Linked DNA regions of Saccharomyces cerevisiae S288C. The gene in region 1 interacts genetically with each later gene. Each region holds a gene or a part of one and is shown in the gene's direction. Other genes may lie near its edges.

Evidence for each region. Genes that interact genetically often act in the same process or in processes that back each other up.
Region 2: mutations in DBP5 (region 1) and LRP1 together harm fitness more than expected from each alone (negative genetic interaction), as found in Saccharomyces cerevisiae (4 studies listed by BioGRID, with this or other methods).
Region 3: mutations in DBP5 (region 1) and APQ12 impair growth when combined (synthetic growth defect), as found in Saccharomyces cerevisiae (4 studies listed by BioGRID, with this or other methods).

Annotation. Positions count from the first base shown.
Region 1 is NC_001147.6:413,959-417,528, reverse strand, and holds DBP5 (ATP-dependent RNA helicase DBP5), read left to right. Parts: upstream 1-1,621; coding exon 1,622-3,070; downstream 3,071-3,570. Other genes in the region: STD1 (Std1p), read left to right, coding at 1-1,182; TOM6 (Tom6p), read right to left, coding at 3,492-3,570. UniProt on the Saccharomyces cerevisiae protein: ATP-dependent RNA helicase associated with the nuclear pore complex and essential for mRNA export from the nucleus. May participate in a terminal step of mRNA export through the removal of proteins that accompany mRNA through the nucleopore complex.
Region 2 is NC_001140.6:265,922-268,592, forward strand, and holds LRP1 (Lrp1p), read left to right. Parts: upstream 1-1,616; coding exon 1,617-2,171; downstream 2,172-2,671. Other genes in the region: LAM4 (Lam4p), read right to left, coding at 1-917; putative serine/threonine protein kinase KSP1, read right to left, coding at 2,538-2,671. UniProt on the Saccharomyces cerevisiae protein: Required for exosome-dependent processing of pre-rRNA and small nucleolar RNA (snRNA) precursors. Involved in processing of 35S pre-rRNA at the A0, A1 and A2 sites. Required for activity of RRP6 in 7S pre-rRNA processing.
Region 3 is NC_001141.2:275,808-278,639, forward strand, and holds APQ12 (Apq12p), read left to right. Parts: upstream 1-1,915; coding exon 1,916-2,332; downstream 2,333-2,832. Other genes in the region: protein kinase PKP1, read right to left, coding at 1-485; GVP36 (Gvp36p), read left to right, coding at 718-1,698; TED1 (Ted1p), read left to right, coding at 2,619-2,832. UniProt on the Saccharomyces cerevisiae protein: Involved in the regulation of lipid homeostasis in the endoplasmic reticulum, thereby impacting nuclear pore complex biogenesis and localization, and nucleocytoplasmic mRNA transport.

The DNA of each region.
Region 1 (3,570 bases):
CCACATAATAACCAAGAAATAAACACACCAAATCACTATAATTTGAGTTCCAATTCAGGAAATGTTAGGAGCAACAACAATTTTGTTACTACACCACCAGAATATGCAGACAGGGCAAGAATAGAAATCATAAAAAGGTTATTGCCTACTGCAGGAACTAAACCTATGGAAGTGAACAGTAATACTGCAGAAAATGCAAATATCCAACACATAAATACCCCGGACAGTCAAAGTTTTGTTTCAGACCATTCATCTTCATACGAATCGAGTATATTTTCACAGCCATCTACTGCTCTTACGGACATCACCACAGGCAGCTCGTTAATTGATACAAAAACACCTAAGTTCGTCACAGAAGTAACACTTGAAGACGCTTTACCCAAAACATTCTATGATATGTATTCTCCCGAAGTTCTGATGTCTGATCCAGCAAATATACTTTATAACGGACGTCCTAAGTTTACAAAGCGCGAATTGCTGGACTGGGATCTAAACGATATACGATCCTTGTTAATTGTGGAACAATTAAGGCCAGAATGGGGTTCCCAGTTACCGACGGTAGTGACCTCCGGTATAAACTTACCGCAATTCAGACTACAATTACTTCCCCTAAGTTCCAGTGATGAGTTTATAATAGCGACATTGGTTAACTCAGACTTATACATAGAAGCAAATCTAGACCGCAATTTTAAGTTGACAAGCGCAAAATATACAGTTGCATCAGCAAGAAAAAGACATGAAGAAATGACTGGGTCAAAGGAACCCATTATGCGTCTATCAAAGCCTGAATGGAGAAATATAATTGAGAACTATTTATTAAATGTTGCCGTCGAGGCCCAATGCAGATATGACTTTAAACAAAAGCGCTCCGAATACAAGAGATGGAAATTACTAAATTCAAATTTGAAAAGGCCTGACATGCCGCCTCCAAGCCTCATACCGCATGGTTTTAAAATACATGACTGCACTAACTCTGGTAGTCTTTTAAAAAAGGCTTTAATGAAAAATTTGCAACTAAAAAATTATAAAAATGATGCTAAGACATTAGGTGCTGGTACACAGAAAAATGTCGTTAATAAGGTTTCTCTAACTTCAGAGGAGAGGGCTGCCATCTGGTTTCAATGCCAAACACAGGTTTATCAAAGGTTGGGGTTAGATTGGAAGCCTGATGGAATGTCCTAGTAAATTTTTACAACAACGCAAAAACGAAATACCCCACTATTTAACCACTTAACGACATTAATATTAATTACAAAAGTGTTTGATACACGTACTATTATAGATTTCGACGACCTTTAAGATTAAGTAATACCTTTAATAATTTTAATATATTTTAAGCCTACTGCTCTAAAATTGCCCAAAAAAAAAACCCAAAAAAATCAACATTTAAATATGATGATACTCCCATATATATCGTATTTAAAGAATAACTCTGCTGTTGTCTTGATTATTTGATTGTTACATTATTATCAACGCGGTATTACCCGTATGCAAATTTTTCAATCAAGCAAAGCATTGCAAAATTTGCATTACCTTTAAAACCAGTTGACCTTTATACACCATAAAATACTCGATCAGCAACCAAGAACATCTATAAAAATACTTACCACCTTAGATCGGAATGAGTGATACAAAGAGAGATCCGGCCGATTTACTAGCTTCTTTAAAGATTGATAATGAGAAAGAGGATACAAGTGAAGTTTCAACAAAAGAGACTGTTAAGTCCCAACCAGAAAAGACTGCTGATTCGATCAAGCCTGCAGAAAAATTAGTTCCAAAAGTTGAGGAAAAAAAAACAAAACAGGAGGATAGTAATTTAATCAGCTCAGAATATGAAGTTAAGGTCAAACTTGCTGATATCCAGGCTGACCCAAATTCTCCATTGTACAGTGCTAAATCTTTTGATGAATTAGGATTAGCACCAGAACTACTAAAGGGGATATATGCTATGAAATTTCAAAAACCATCCAAAATTCAAGAAAGGGCGCTGCCATTATTATTACATAATCCGCCTAGGAACATGATTGCTCAGTCTCAATCAGGTACAGGTAAAACTGCCGCCTTTTCTTTAACGATGCTAACAAGAGTAAACCCAGAAGACGCATCTCCACAGGCAATTTGCTTAGCCCCCTCCAGAGAACTGGCCAGACAAACACTAGAAGTCGTTCAGGAAATGGGTAAGTTCACAAAAATAACCAGTCAGTTAATTGTTCCCGATTCTTTTGAGAAAAACAAGCAAATTAATGCTCAAGTGATTGTTGGTACGCCGGGCACTGTTCTTGACCTAATGCGTAGAAAATTGATGCAGCTACAGAAAATTAAAATTTTTGTTTTGGATGAAGCCGATAACATGTTGGATCAGCAGGGTCTAGGTGACCAGTGTATTCGTGTTAAGAGATTTTTACCCAAGGATACTCAACTTGTTTTGTTTAGTGCTACTTTTGCCGATGCAGTTAGGCAGTACGCAAAGAAGATCGTTCCAAATGCTAATACTTTAGAATTACAAACAAATGAAGTTAATGTTGATGCCATCAAACAACTATACATGGACTGCAAAAACGAAGCAGATAAGTTTGATGTTTTAACTGAGCTATATGGTTTAATGACAATTGGATCTTCCATTATTTTTGTTGCAACCAAAAAAACCGCAAACGTTTTATATGGGAAATTGAAAAGTGAAGGTCATGAAGTTTCTATCTTGCATGGTGATTTACAGACACAAGAAAGAGACAGATTAATAGACGACTTCAGAGAGGGTAGATCCAAAGTTTTGATTACTACTAATGTCCTGGCCCGTGGTATTGATATTCCTACTGTCTCAATGGTTGTCAACTATGATCTTCCAACGCTTGCTAACGGACAAGCAGATCCAGCTACTTACATTCACAGAATCGGTAGAACCGGTAGATTCGGCAGAAAAGGTGTTGCCATTTCCTTTGTACATGACAAAAATTCTTTCAATATTTTATCTGCAATTCAGAAATACTTCGGTGATATAGAAATGACTCGTGTTCCAACGGATGATTGGGATGAAGTCGAAAAAATAGTTAAGAAAGTGTTAAAGGATTAGAATTCAGTACATAATACCTCAAAATACGTAAAAGCTTTAATCTAATTTCATACACCAATGAATATATTATTACGACATCAATGGGTCCCATTTGTTTCTTCTCAGTTTGTTGATCCACTTTTACTTGTGAGGCAAGCTTATATAAATACAAACACAGCATATACCTTGTGATTTCGATACCTTTGTCACTCTCTTTTGTCACGGCTTTCCGGTGAACAGTAAACAGCCCGTATACAAAAGGCTTGCGTTAAAAGGAATACTAAATGTAAAGCATACTTGCTTTTTTTCCATTATATACACTGCTAACTCTACATAATTCGGGAATAAAATATAAACATATTTGACAAATTCTTTTGAGAACCCAAAAACCAATATATATACAGGTAAGTGAAAAAATCTCAACTATACAAGAACCAACCCCTTATAATTGTGGGGCCAACATGTCCATGAGTGGAGATTGAATAAACGCAACACCTGCAACGAAGAAGGCACCGTTTAGT
Region 2 (2,671 bases), on another chromosome or scaffold:
ATCTTTCTAGTGTCATCTAATGATGTATCATCTCCTGAGATAGCATTAGAGCTTGAATGTGAGTTCGAGTGAATATGGCCTTTCAAATTTCCAAATGCCAATCTAGATAATGATGATGGTTTACTTTTACTTCCTGCTTCCGTTGTATTAAGCTGTTGGTTACTTGGAGTTGATGATTTGGATGCTGCAAGAATATTGTCTAAATTTTTCAAAAATGGGCCATCGCTTTCTTTTGTCGATGAAGTGTTTTTATTGTTAGTGCTATTTTCGGAAAGGGCTCCTGATATATTAGATGAGTTTTTTTTCCTGTCCTTTGGTTCATTCCTGGAAATTGTTCCATTGTCAGCGTCTTGTACGTTTATTTTGGGAATGTGGCTTACGGCATTATGGGCGAAGGAAAGAAACGTTTCAAAGGCGGTATGTTCATCATGGCCGTCTGGAGTTTTTTCCTCAGCTTGATTGCTGGACCCTTCTCGTTTCCCACTTTGCAGTTTTTCCTTTTCTAATGCCTGGACGGATAAACTTGGTACAGAATTTGAATTCGAGTTACCATCCTGAAAGCGACCCTTCAATGAACCTGCCGTCAAATTCGTGTTTGTCTTTTCAAGCCTGTTTGTTTCCATGGGATCTATAACGATTGGAATATTGAATACACCTTGGCTATGCGCTAAGGAAGATGCCGCCGCCTTTTGAGATCCTTTTGCAGGAGATTCCGTGAAAGTTTCGGGCTTAAGTAAAGACGGAATATCCGGATTTCCTCCTACTCTTCTGAATCGCTCAGCACTGGCTGTTGTGCTAACATTCTCTCCTGTAGTATTATTTAAAAAATTACGATCCTTCTTGTGCTTACGTTTGACTCCAATTGTCCTTAAAAAGGCAGTGCCCCAATGGTGCTTCTTTTTTGAATCTCTAGTCATTACTGTATATTTTCAACACTATCCATGGAGAGTAAGAACCACACACAGTAGCAATAATTTAATATCAATGGCAATAGCAACGAAATTACAGTAGATACCGTGAGCCAGCAGAAACAGATTGATATTTCGTATTTCAAGAAGGCAGAATCATTCAACCACCTACCGTCCCCCAGGAGGACAGATCCCAACGAGGGACCTTTGCGCCCAATTCTACTCCTGCAAGGGTTTCACTTAGAAATGCTTTTGCCAAGGTAAAGGACCCCTAAGACTAGAATGAACTACGCCGGTCCGTCCGGCCGTCATACTCCGTGGAAATTTACTTCTAAAAGGAGAAACAGCGATCTTTGCCGCATAAAGCCAGCCACTACTGGCGTGGAAAGATTTTTAGATTAGAAGACAATACAAAGCGGCAACGTCATAACCTTGGTATTTATTGGGCAAGCATTTTCATATCAGCGTACATACACCAGCAATGGGAATGTAAAGAAGAGTCGTTACTAGCATATTTTCTATTCATGCGGGTACCCAACATGTCACGTTTCACGAATTCTCGTGCAGTTTTTCAGCGATGAGCTAAGGCAGATGGTTATGGACTGTGCCTTCTGTAGTCTGTGGAAGAAAAAACTGGTTAACAGCCTACAGTAGAAATCGATTAATATAAACATATATCTAGCAACGTAACGGAGTATTAGATCAGTAATGGAAGATATCGAAAAGATAAAACCATACGTTAGGAGTTTTTCAAAGGCGTTAGACGAGCTGAAACCAGAAATAGAGAAACTAACGTCGAAGTCACTGGATGAACAGCTGTTGCTATTATCTGATGAGAGGGCTAAATTAGAACTAATTAATCGTTACGCGTATGTATTGAGTTCTCTGATGTTTGCTAATATGAAAGTCCTAGGCGTCAAAGATATGTCTCCTATACTCGGCGAACTGAAAAGAGTAAAATCATACATGGATAAGGCTAAACAATACGATAATAGGATAACCAAATCCAACGAAAAATCGCAGGCAGAGCAAGAAAAAGCTAAGAATATCATTTCCAATGTTTTGGACGGTAATAAAAACCAATTCGAGCCCTCTATAAGCAGGAGCAACTTTCAAGGGAAGCATACGAAATTTGAAAACGATGAACTGGCAGAGAGTACAACGACTAAGATTATTGACAGTACCGATCATATAAGGAAAGCAAGTAGTAAGAAAAGTAAAAGATTGGATAAAGTTGGAAAAAAGAAAGGAGGGAAGAAGTAGAGGTCGACGTATACTGGTACATGAGTGAAAAAATGATTAAAGGTGATGTGAGAGCACAAATGCAAAAATGCTTATAGGGTTTATATACTTTTATAATAACAATAAGAACTCGTTGAAGTAACTAATATGTGTATATGCTATTCTTGTAGTTGGCAGTGAACACTTTTGTGTGAATTGACGTTATATAAGACTGTAGAAATATCTAAGAAAAGAGAGTTTTCATAAAACCCTTCAAGCTTAACTACCAAAAAGCATTCATACTTAGAAGTTGAAATGCACGATGATGCCAAATTGATGAAAAAAGCTAAAAATGCATTTCAGAAGGGAAGAAAATAATAAGCAACATAACAGAGGGAATAGGTGCGCTTAGTCTTGTTGCTGTAAAATTAACCAATTATTCTTGTATTGTTCTAACGATCCGACCATTTCATCCTGAATACTTGTCTTCCTGCCAGCTCCTAATTTTTTATCGTGAGTGGAGCCAGCGAAAGTTTGAGCAT
Region 3 (2,832 bases), on another chromosome or scaffold:
ATTTCCTGAAGACCTTTTGCCAATACCACAATGGCGTCCTCGTGGTCGTCCAGCAGTTCTGTGAACTTGGCCTGTATCTTGGGAGGATTGTGCAACTCGTACGGGTATGCGATTGATAGCAACGTTTGCAAGCTTTTCAAATACAAAGAGTTGGTTCTCTCAATATGAGGGTTGATTACCGCATTATACGGTAGCCTCTGAATGGCATTAAGCCGTTTACACGTCAATGAAAGCAACAGGTTGATTGTCTTGATCGTCAGCATGTACTCCTCCTTCTTGGTCAGCGGCGGCCTGTATTGCAGGAAATACTCGTAGTTTAGGGGCGCAATTGGTTTACTAGCGTAGTCCTGTATCAGCAGCTCAATGTTCGACCTAATCTTGTAATGCTGGTCGAACGACAGTTGCGACAGCAGCTCGTGTGAGGGTCGCTGGCGATGTGCCCAGCGCATTCCCCCACATTTCCATGAACGCATAATCTTCCACATACTACCGTGAAGGCGTCTTGATACCACGTCTTCCAGTTATGGTCTTGACTCACCAATGTTCTCAGTTTAATGTTGTTTGCTTCATACTGGCAGACATTTTCCCTTATTACCGTGAGAAGCGAGCGGTGGATTAATCGGGATGTCAAAAACAAGAAAATTGCAACCTTCTTCACCTATAACCTATATGATTTGTAGGCAGAGGAGTGGAATAAGCAACAAATCATAGTCATCAATGTCGTTTAATGCCTTCGCCAGCTCTTTGAGCAAGAAATTACAGGAAATATCCACAAGTGTTTCCGAAAAAACCCAGGAATTGCCCAGTTTGGCGCAATCCACCCAAAGAATGGTCCAGGAACGTTTGGGCCAGGTGACGGACATCTCCCAATTGCCAAGAGAGTACACAGAGCTGGAAGATAAGGTTGACACCATCAAACTGATTTACAACCACTTCTTGGGTGTAACTGCTATCTACGAAAACGGATCGTACGATTACCCTAAATACATCAACGAATCCGTCAACGAGTTTTCAAGAAGCGTGGCTTCCAAGTTGACAGAGTTGACTCATGCTACATCTGCGTCTGAGGCACAAAACATCTTAGTTGCTCCAGGCCCCATCAAAGAACCCAAGACGTTGAACTACGCCCTCAGTAAAGTGGCTTTGAACTCCAGTGAATGTTTGAACAAGATGTTCCCCACCGAGGAACAACCCTTGGCTTCGGCACTCTTGCAATTCAGTGATGTGCAGGCTAAGATTGCTCAAGCTAGAATTCAACAAGATACCTTGATTCAAACCAAATTCAATAAAAATTTGAGGGAAAGGCTCTCTTTTGAGATCGGTAAGGCCGATAAGTGCCGCAAGGATGTCCATTCCATGAGATTAAGATATGACGTGGCAAGAACTAACTTGGCAAACAACAAGAAGCCAGAAAAGGAAGCTTCCTTGAGAGTCCAAATGGAGACTTTGGAAGACCAGTTTGCTCAAGTCACTGAAGACGCTACTGTGTGCTTGCAGGAGGTTATTTCTCACGCTAACTTCAGTGAAGATTTGAAGGAATTGGCCAAGGCTCAAGCTGAGTATTTTGAAACCTCGGCTGGCCTAATGAAAGAGTTCCTATCCAACTCATTTGCGGAAGAGCCGGAAGCAAAGCCTGAGGTTGCAGAAGAAGAAAAGCCACAGACAGCTATCTCTATGAATGACGAAGACGACGCTTAATAGCCGCCCTGTTCTTGTCTTTCTCTCTCCTTCTCTATATATATATATTTACTTAATACAATATCATATTCTCTAGTGTCGTACGAATATTATCATTTATTTGCTGGCTTTTGTAGTGAGTATATTTTTTGTAGAGAAAATATAATTACTGGAAGAGAAAAAGCTACTGAAAAAAATTTCGTAACAGTCACCAAAGGGCAAAGTGAGCAACCCAAAAATGGACGCTACTCAACCGCAATACGAACTATCCGTAGTAACACAATGCCTAAAGTCTGCCATTGACGTCATCCAATGGTTGATTCCTACTATTACTAAGTTCAGCCAATCACACCCGTTAGTTTTCCAACTATTGTTTATTTTCTTCACATTTTATGTCTTTTACAAGTTGTTGATGAACTTCATTACTCTGGTCAAAAGATTCCTGTATTTGACGTTGGTAGTAACATGTATCGGTATTTATATGCGTGGTTCGCAGCAGTTTTTGACTGTGGACCTGTTGAATTTCTACAATTTCGTCATGTCAAATAGATACTACGCATTTAAAATTTATACTCTGTTTATTAATGCCCTGGAAAGAGAAATCAACACTGTTTATCATTTGGCGCAGATGAAAATGGAACAGTTGCTTAAATAGAGCGAAACGCCTCTGCTTACTCGGAACATCTTAAAGTAATTACATATCTTAATTTCTAAATATTCATATAGATAAAGAACGTTTTTTTTGCTAGATTCCTCCCCTAGTCACTATCAAATATTGAGCTATTTTTGGTGACTTGTGTTTTCCAAATTATTCATTACAATTGTGACTTGATTTCTGAAGTTTTAAGAAAAATTGCAAACTAAGTTATTACAAGCGATTTATCCGGTCGCGATTGAAGAACTGAAAACAACAGCAGCAGCATTGTACCAAGAATCCCAAGATGCTCAGGTGTGCGGTCAAGAAGTTTGCATATTTTGCCACCTTCCTCACTATCGTCGCTAATATTTACATCTATACTTATCCATCTTTCCATCCAGAACAGTGTTCATGGAACTGCTCTAACAAGAACGCACCACTACAGAAAGATTTGACTTTTGTGGACAAAGTGAAGAATTACTTCAGTGATGTTCGAGAGCAATGGCATGGTAGCCATG